Danio rerio: one gene and its partner. The protein of the gene in region 2 interacts with the protein of the main gene of each other region in a biochemical or structural test. Links are inferred from orthologs where the notes say so. Each region holds a gene or a part of one and is shown on either strand. Other genes may lie near its edges.

Region 1 (4,579 bases), on a different chromosome or scaffold from region 2:
GGGGGTTGTTAATTCTGACATCAACTGTAATTTACACAATGACGTCAATTCTTGAATACTTCAAAATTATAAATATTAAGAAATCTTTTTTAAGATGCCTTCTTCAATGGTCCCAGCTTTCGCATCTTTCTTCTTTAGCTTTTTCTTGGAAACCTTCTGAAATGGGGCAAATTCTACAACAGCTGGATATTCTTGACCTAAATAAACAGAAGTAAAATAAATGTTATACTAATCTATTATATCATATGTCATAATAAAAAGTAAATATCCTAAAGTTATAGTCAGAAAATATTAGATTCAATGAGGATACATAGAAAAAAAGCAGAAAGCAAATCACCTTTATTGTCAATAAATACATAGCCATCAAAGCGATCTCTGAATATTATGATATCCTCTGGGTTTTTGAAGTTTATGTATGCTCTTGAGAAGAGATGAGGGTATAAGCTGGGGAGAATAAAAATATATCAAATATGCACATGTAAATTACACTGACAGCACTCATGATCATAGTATTTCTATATAAACAAAGTGGACATACCTCTGATCAGCAGGAAAGAACTCAAAATAGTCAAAAGATGGAAGAGGACTCAGATGCTCCTGGAGCTGGTCTTTTGATAGACTGGGTGGCAGTCGGCGGATGACAACCTATATAAAAGAAGAATAAAAGAAGTCTGATAATACTGAAAACAAGCTTATTCAAGTTATTAAAAAATGAAGAAATATTACTATATTATCAATGAACTATAAAGTATTTCATAATGATAATATGGTAATAATAATAATGCATTATTATTATTATTATTATTATTATTTTATTTAACAACAGGACATATGTAACAAATAATTATAATATTTCTGGTTTACAAAACTGACCACTTTTTAAAAATAAAATTATCAAATTTTTAAGATAAAAACAAAAATATTCTTGTTCAGATATGAAAATATCACTGAAACCTTATTAGTTATTAAAAAACAGACAGGCATGTAAGAATTTTTTGTGAGTGTAAAAACTTTTTACATTTTATTCATTTTATGTAGGCCTACTGACCTTCAAAAGCTCTCTCGGAATACAAACTAAGTATATAGTAAACTAAGTATAGCATATACAGTTGAAGTCAAAATTATTAGCCCCCCTTTGAATTTCATTTTCTTTTTTAAATATTTCTCAAATGATTTTTAACAGAGCAAGGAAATTTTTATAGTATGTCTGATAATATTTTTTCTTTTGGAGAAAGTTTTGTTTTATTTCGGCTACAACAAAAGCAGTTTAAAATTTTTTTAAAACCATTTTAAGGTCAAAATGATTAGCCCCTTGAAGCCATATTATTCTTTCGATAGTCTACAGAACAAACTATCATTAAACAATGACTTGCCCAATTACCCTAACTTGCCTAGTTAACCTAATTAACCTAGTTAAGCCTTTAAATGTCACTTTAAGCTGTATAGAAGTGTCTTGAAAAATATCTAGTCAAATATTATTTACTCTCATCATGGCAAAGATAAAATAAATCAGTGATTAGAAATTAGTTATTAAAACTATTATGTTTAAAAATGTGTTGAAAAAAAAATCAGATCTCCGTTAAACAGAAATTGGGGGAAAAATAAACAGGGGTTTATATATATATATATATATATATATATATATATATATATATATATATATATATATATATATATATAATATATATATATATATATATTCTTTTTTTAACCAGGTAAACAAAACCATTGAAATCGAAATCTCATTTACAAGGGTGACCTGACCAAGAGGTCTACAGCTCACAACTAATGGAAAAAAATTAAATAATAATAATTATAATAATAATATTAAAATACTGTTTGATTATTCAGCCATACCACATTACATTATGTTAAAAACACATACACTGAGAAATGGACTGTTGTTGTTTGTTATAAAATTATTTAAGTCAGACTCACTTCGATTAAATTAAAAAGTACATACAAGTAATTACTATTATTACATTAATTTTCGTGTTTTTTCATTTAATAGATATTGTGGAGTTGTGATGTTGATAAAATAACATGCAGAAGAAACTCACTTCCTATGTATGGTGGGAGTCACTTATTTTGTGTTACAAACCTAATTAGTGTTCCAAAGAATTTAGATTAATAAATGGACTAACCCATCTATTTTTACCATATATATATATATATATATATATATATATATATATATATATATATATATATATATATATATATATATATATATATATAGCATGTTCATCTTGACGAGTGTTCATATAGGCCCTGCTATTGATTAATAAAATTCATTTAATCATCATCTGCAATAGACATAAAACAACCAGAACATTATTAAAATTCTGCAAAAGCGTTCTACAAAACAAATCCTTACATAAAAATAAAGAATAATTGTAGAATTACTCATTCACACACGCACAAGCTCAATAGGTTAATCTTAAAAACGTCTATTTTACCACATTGCACCATGGCTACATGCTACTTTCATAACATGTTTAATCAATCCCTAGATTAAACCCATTCAGTGTTAACTGATTGAGTGTAGGAGTGTGTTTGTGTTTATTATGAATGATAGCACCAGGATGTTCGTGTGTATTTGGCAGTCCTGTGGTTTCGCTGTCTGTGGTGCTGAATCCCATTCCCTCCTCCATCATCATCATCATCATCACCATACTCTCCCAGCCCACAGAACTGCGCCACCTTACCTTGCTGAAGATCTCCTTTTTCTCCTCCTTGTGCTTGGGGTTCACAGCGGCGTTGTCCTGACAGTCCCTGAACTGGATTTCGACGCTTCCTCTCTCCCTGCTGCCTGTCCTCTGCTCCTTTTCAGACCTCATATCTCCATTTCGCCCTCTTCGCTGTCCGAAATCCGCTAACTCTCGCGGGAATTCTCAAAATAACGCGAGGCTTGCGCTGTGTTTATTATCTTCTTGTCAGGATTCGTTAAACATTAAAACGAAGAAACAACAAACGTATGGAGCAGTGCTAACAAAAAATAAGTACACACTCTGAATATTATATGGTTATTTGGCCACTATGTATGTGGTTAGTGTTTTTATACAAAAGAAAATAGATAAAGCACAGGGGACTGATGTTGTTAAACATTACAATATTGAACTTTCCCGTATGTTCTCTTCATTTCATCGTTGTGGGCGAGTTATAAAAACAGCAGCCATAACTGTCATCGTTTGCTGCCGTTTGTGTCCTCATATTCGCTGTCGGTGCAGCTCGGTTGAACGGGACCGAACGGGCTCCCGATGCTCGATGTGCTCCATATGTCCGGGCTGCTGGGCTGACTCACGGAGCGCCCGTAACCATCCCGACCAGGAACTGCAGAAAACACGACACCACAAGCTGTCTGCAAACGTAACTACATCCATTTATTTCTCTATCCATTGAACTATCAGTAAATATATGACTCTAATTAGGAGGTCAGCAAAAGTATCATTTGCAAAGTATTATCAAAGACTACAGAATAAAGGGACTTTAGTATTATCCACATATCTATTTATTTAAACAGATGTAGCCTATATCCATCTATTCACCTAAAAAAGTAAAAAGTATATAAATCACAGTACATTTATATAAAGTATTAGACCACCCATAGCAAATGCAAAAGCATTCCAATGTATCTATCAGGTGTCCAACAAAATACAGAAGTATCTGATCTGATTTAATAAACAGGCTAGTCTAAATAGATATCCAGCCATTTATTTGTCTGCAAGTTTTTACTCACCCACCTGTCTTATTGCTAAAGTACCAGTTTATTTATCTAAAATACAGCTACAACATACTGAAAAAAGTTTTCAGACCTTAAGTATTTATTTATTTTACATATATATGCATACATTTCCCCTTTAGGGCGTCACAGTGGCGCAGTGGGTAGCACAATCGCCTCACAGCAAAAAGGTCACTGATACGGGCCTTGGCTAAGTCAATTTGCATTTCTGTGTGGAGTTTGCATGTTCTCCCCGTGTTCACGGGTGCTTCGGTTTTGCCTACAAGTCCAAAAACATGCAGTACAGGTGAATTTGGTAAGCTGAATTGTTCATAGTGTTTGTGCGTGAATGAGTGTGTATGGATGTTTTCCAGTGTTGGGTTGCAGCTGGGAGGGTATCCACTGCATAAAACATATGTTGGATAAGTTGGCGGTTGATTGATTCCGCTGTGGCGACCCTAGATTAACAAAGGCACTAAGCTGAAAATAAAACTAATGAATGAATTTTCCCTTTAATACGAAGGTCTGACATTTTATATCAACCTGTAGTTATTTTCTGCAAATAAACGCTGTATGTGATAATATTTTTATTTGAATCATTTAAAGGCCAGTGATGTTTATAAAATGAAAGATGTATCTATTAACGGCAAACACTGAAATCTAATAATAACTGTTAACTTCCCCCAACCTGTGTCTACCATACATCTGTCCAGTCCACAGATATATTTATCTGCAAAATAACAATCCACGCATGCATCATGCAGAAGCATGCATATATGCCTTATTCATTTATCTGAAAATGTATTCAAGTGACCATCAAGTGTCCATTCATCTACAAAAGCCGCCTATCCTTATAAC
Region 2 (4,510 bases):
GCACTTTATTTATTTATTTTTTAAATATTTACTAATTGAGTTTTACCATTTACAATTTAAAGCAGTACATTTCGCCTCTCCTAGCACAACCAGGGCATTAAAAAAAAAAACATGAAAATAAAAAATATATTGTTCCAGACTTTCTGAGTTAACAGTGAGAAAACAGAGTGCACCTTATTTGTTCAGTCCATATATTATCATTTAACATGAGAGGCTTAACAACATCTAAACAAAGAAATATCCAAGAGGTGCATCTAAATACAAAAAACAAACAAACAAACAAAAAAAAAAACAGGTCATATCATCTTGAATCACAAAACCTTTCAGATATATTAAAGTTACCAGTAAGGGAACACATTAATATGTTATATTTTTAGTCAATATGTTATTTGAAATGAAGAGTTTGGTAACATTCAATAAGTACAAAATAAAAAACAACGTAGAACACTTTAAACAACTGAAATGAGTTCACATTAAATAAAATTCCGTTAATTATATTGTGCACAACATACTGTTTTGCATTGCAAGGTACATTTTACACATTTTTAAAAATCACATGTTGAAATGCAGAGTTTAATGCTGTCTTGTGCATCCATTTTTACTAAACATTTTGCACTTTAAAATAAAGTGTATTAAAATATATTGTAAACAAAACATTCAACTGTGTTTTAATTCAAAAATCTAATCTGCATTAAAATAATGCATCAAATAATGGTTTACTTGTATCAAATGCTTTGTTCAATACTGTAAAGTGTCTTTGAGTGCCTTGAATTGTGCCTATAAATAAATAGCATTAAATAAAATGCACTAATATATTTTGCAATGTAAAAACAAAAGCATGCTTTTAATATAGCTGACACTTTTACTCAAATTGTGCATTTAAAACGACTATTCTGTATACAATATACACAATTTATATATATATATAAATATATATATATATGTATGTATGTAAATATTTTGCACTTATAATTTTGAGATTCGAGTTTTGCAAAGGACAGATTGCTTATGATTTTACACTGAAAACCAGTTCACGTAGCTTTCTTTTATATTTTCATGCTAATCAACATTTCTATTTAAAAATCACACTTAAAATTACTGTGCATGTTTCATTTAGTTTTGCAATGAAAATAGTGTTTATGATACAATAAGTCACAGTGAATGTCAGTCACTGTGCATTATGGGATGTTGTATTTGTCTGTTGTATTCTGTGCATTTTATTTCGTAAAAGAAAACATGATGATCAGTAACACCATATAATACAATATGTTTATATATATATATATATATATATATATATATATATATATATATATATATATATATATATACACACACACACACACACACACACACACACACGGGTTAAGAACTATTCCCTCTTCAAATTAAGTATGAGTTCAAAACAACATCAGCACTATTTAACTGACTGTGAACAATGCTGTACTTTGATAAGCATTGGCTGTAATATGATTTCCTGATTTAGATTTAGCAAAGAATAATTTTTTCATATTAAAGAGATATTTTACTACAACTTTAACACATCATTAAGGAGAAAGTCCACATGTGAGAATATAAAACCAACTTTACTTCAGCATCAGGATGGAGCTGTTTTCATATTCGCACATTCGTTCATTTTGGAACAGTGAAAACTTGTGACATGATCTCAGTATTGTTTACCAAGTTACTTTTAGATATTCAGGCTGAAATACAATGCAAGTATGAGTTCAAAACAACTTTAGCACTATTTAATCAACAGTGAACAATGCTGTACTTTTACAGGCATTGACTGATAAGAATACTTTTCTGGAATTATATCAAAGAGAAACTCCTAATGTGGGAATGTAAAACTAACTTTACCTTAATATCAAGCTTCAGGCGTGTGTAAAATTATATAATCACGCATTAACACTAAACTCTGCATGAAGATGCCTGTTCATGAGCAGAAATGAACACCTTCTGGTTACTTCAAGAACATCAACAGCTCATATTCAGGAGAACTGCTGCTTTCAGTTCTTCCAGCACGCAAAACTAACACAAAACAAACTCAGGTACCTTTAACTCAGCTGGGGATGCTGCGTGATTTAGAATTAGCAAAGAATACTTCTGACACATCAAGGAGATATTTTACTAGTACTTTAACTCTTATTAATAGGGAGAAAGTCCAAAGGAGCAAATATAAAACAAACTTTACTTCAACATCAGGATTGAGCTGTTTTAATATTCGCACATTTGTTTATTTTTGAACAGTGACAACTTGTGACATGATCTGTATAAGGTTTACCACACTACTTTGAAAATTGGGTCAAAAATAACATGCAAGTATGACTTGCATATTGACTGGGAACAATGTACATTGTCTACTAATATGATTTCCCTATTTAGCATTTTCTGAAATTATGTTGAGAAAGTCTAAATGTGGTAACGTATAACCAACTGTACCTCAATATCAGGCTTTAGGTGTGAGTGAGATCAGATAATGACGCACGAACACTAAACTCCTCATGAAGATGCATTTTCATGAGCAGAACTGAATACCTTGAGGGTATATCAGAAACATCAACGGCTCACATCCAGGATTTCAGTTCTTTCAGAGTGCAAAATTCATAGAAATGAACTCATGCACCTCTTGATCTCAGCTGCGGATGCCGTGCGCAGTGTGTGATATAATAACGCCTATCAACAAACAAACAGACCAACCCACGACATGAAAACAAACAGCAACAGCTGCATAATAAAACCCACAAAAACAAACAATATTTACATTACCTGCCTCTGACATCTCAATAGAAAGTCACTTGCTGATAAGCAGCTCATTTAAAGCCCAATTCTAACCATTTTACCGTAGCGATTTGATGTTTTAACCGAGTGTTTGGATTAGCTTTAGCCGTTAGCTCCCGTAAGTCCGCTCGTAAATTAAGCATGAGCACGCTTGTCGCGTGAACAGCAGAAATGACTTAAACAGAATACTTTTCTGCAACTCATGTAAAAACAGATGTGTTTAATATCAAATATCGAGCTTACCTCATGTGTTTGTTCTAATATTCATAAGTTTAAACTGTAAATGACGGCGGTTGATACTTTTCGATATGAGGACCCCTGAATGTGGAGCCCCAAACGTGCCTGATCAAAATATTACTCGCCCACCAGATGAAACAATAATAAACTCAGATAAACACATACTAATAAATAAACTAATATGCAAACCCTCATGACTGTCAAGTTCATTTTATACTGTTACGGTAAGTAAAGAGCAAGCTTTCAGATATTCTGTAGTTATATTGATAAGTATTATTGATTTTTCCCAAATATATAAAATGCTGTTAAATACGTTACATTATAAAGACCATTAGTCAAAATGACCAAATCATGTAACTTTATAGACGTTTATATTCATCTTTAAACAGCAAGCTACTGATGTTTTAACTCCAAAACAGTTAAGAACTCAATATTTCATTTTATTTGGTGCGATAACCCTGATTGCAATTCTCTGGGAAAAGAAACTATATTTAACTGACAATGTTATTTATTTGAAATTAATAATACACGTTTTCAGACCTTTAAAAAAGAAAAACATACATTTACAAACATACAATTAACAAATTTTACTCAAAAATAGATATAGCACATCCAGAAAAACGCAGAATTATTCAGTGGTCAGTCATGTCCCCTATATTTTGTCATAGTTGTGTATGTAATAATCGTATTTTATAGATCAATACTTTAGCTGTTATCATATTTGTGGCCTGCAGATGGCGCTATTGAAACATTACACAACACTGCAGTGTTTTTGTACCATAGGCCACTACAGTAGAGTGTATTATACTGTATATATTATAGTATCTACAACTCTTAATGAATGCTCCAGCATACTGCAGCATTAACTATAGTGAACTGATAATAAATGCTGTAGTATACCTTCAATTTTACTACTGTGAACAGTGGTGTGTTGGAGTATATATTCTAGTTGTGGAAAACTACAGTATTGGGTTGTTTGTTTATATTACTAGTTGTTGCGTTACCATAGCAACTATAAAATCACCACAATATATTAATAACTATAGTTATTGTGTAACCCACCGGTTACAGAGGTCAGAGCAGTGAAGTTTACCTGCATAGCATTTCGCTAGCTGGCCTGTCACACTCACACCTCTAAACCTCACTCCCATCCCAGACGAGCCCCCACATGTAACCCACCGATCCTACTGCACCCACCTGGTCTGAGCTGAGATCGAACTGTTGATTCCTTGTATTAGAGTCGGTTGCTCTAACAAGGAGGCTAAAGATGCTGGCCTCTAGCGTCTGTCGCTAGAGCACCTTTTGAGGACAGAGGAGTGAGGTTTACCTGCATAGCACTTCGTCGTAGCATGTCAAATGTGTTACCATAGCAACTGTAGAACCAACACAAGATATTGACATTAGTTGTGTTACCATAGCAACTGTAGAATCACCACAACATATTAATTACCATAGTTGTTCTGTTACCATAGCGACTATAGAATCAGCAAAA

Evidence for each region.
Region 1: the proteins of upf2 (region 2) and upf3a form a complex in vitro, tested with the Homo sapiens proteins (2 studies listed by IntAct, with this or other methods). The link is inferred for Danio rerio from reciprocal best matches to the Homo sapiens genes UPF2 and UPF3A.

The regions. Positions count from the first base shown.
Region 1 is NC_133184.1:36,604,469-36,609,047, forward strand, and holds the start of upf3a (regulator of nonsense transcripts 3A), read right to left. Parts: upstream 2,884-4,579; 5' UTR 2,841-2,883; coding exon 2,709-2,840; intron 646-2,708; coding exon 539-645; intron 445-538; coding exon 338-444; intron 198-337; coding exon 99-197; intron 1-98. UniProt on the Homo sapiens protein: Involved in nonsense-mediated decay (NMD) of mRNAs containing premature stop codons by associating with the nuclear exon junction complex (EJC) and serving as link between the EJC core and NMD machinery.
Region 2 is NC_133179.1:1,384,222-1,388,731, forward strand, and holds the start of upf2 (regulator of nonsense transcripts 2), read right to left. Parts: upstream 3,108-4,510; 5' UTR 3,030-3,107; coding exon 3,025-3,029; exon of another isoform or gene 2,770-3,024; intron 2,677-2,769; exon of another isoform or gene 2,539-2,676; intron 1-2,538. UniProt on the Homo sapiens protein: Involved in nonsense-mediated decay (NMD) of mRNAs containing premature stop codons by associating with the nuclear exon junction complex (EJC).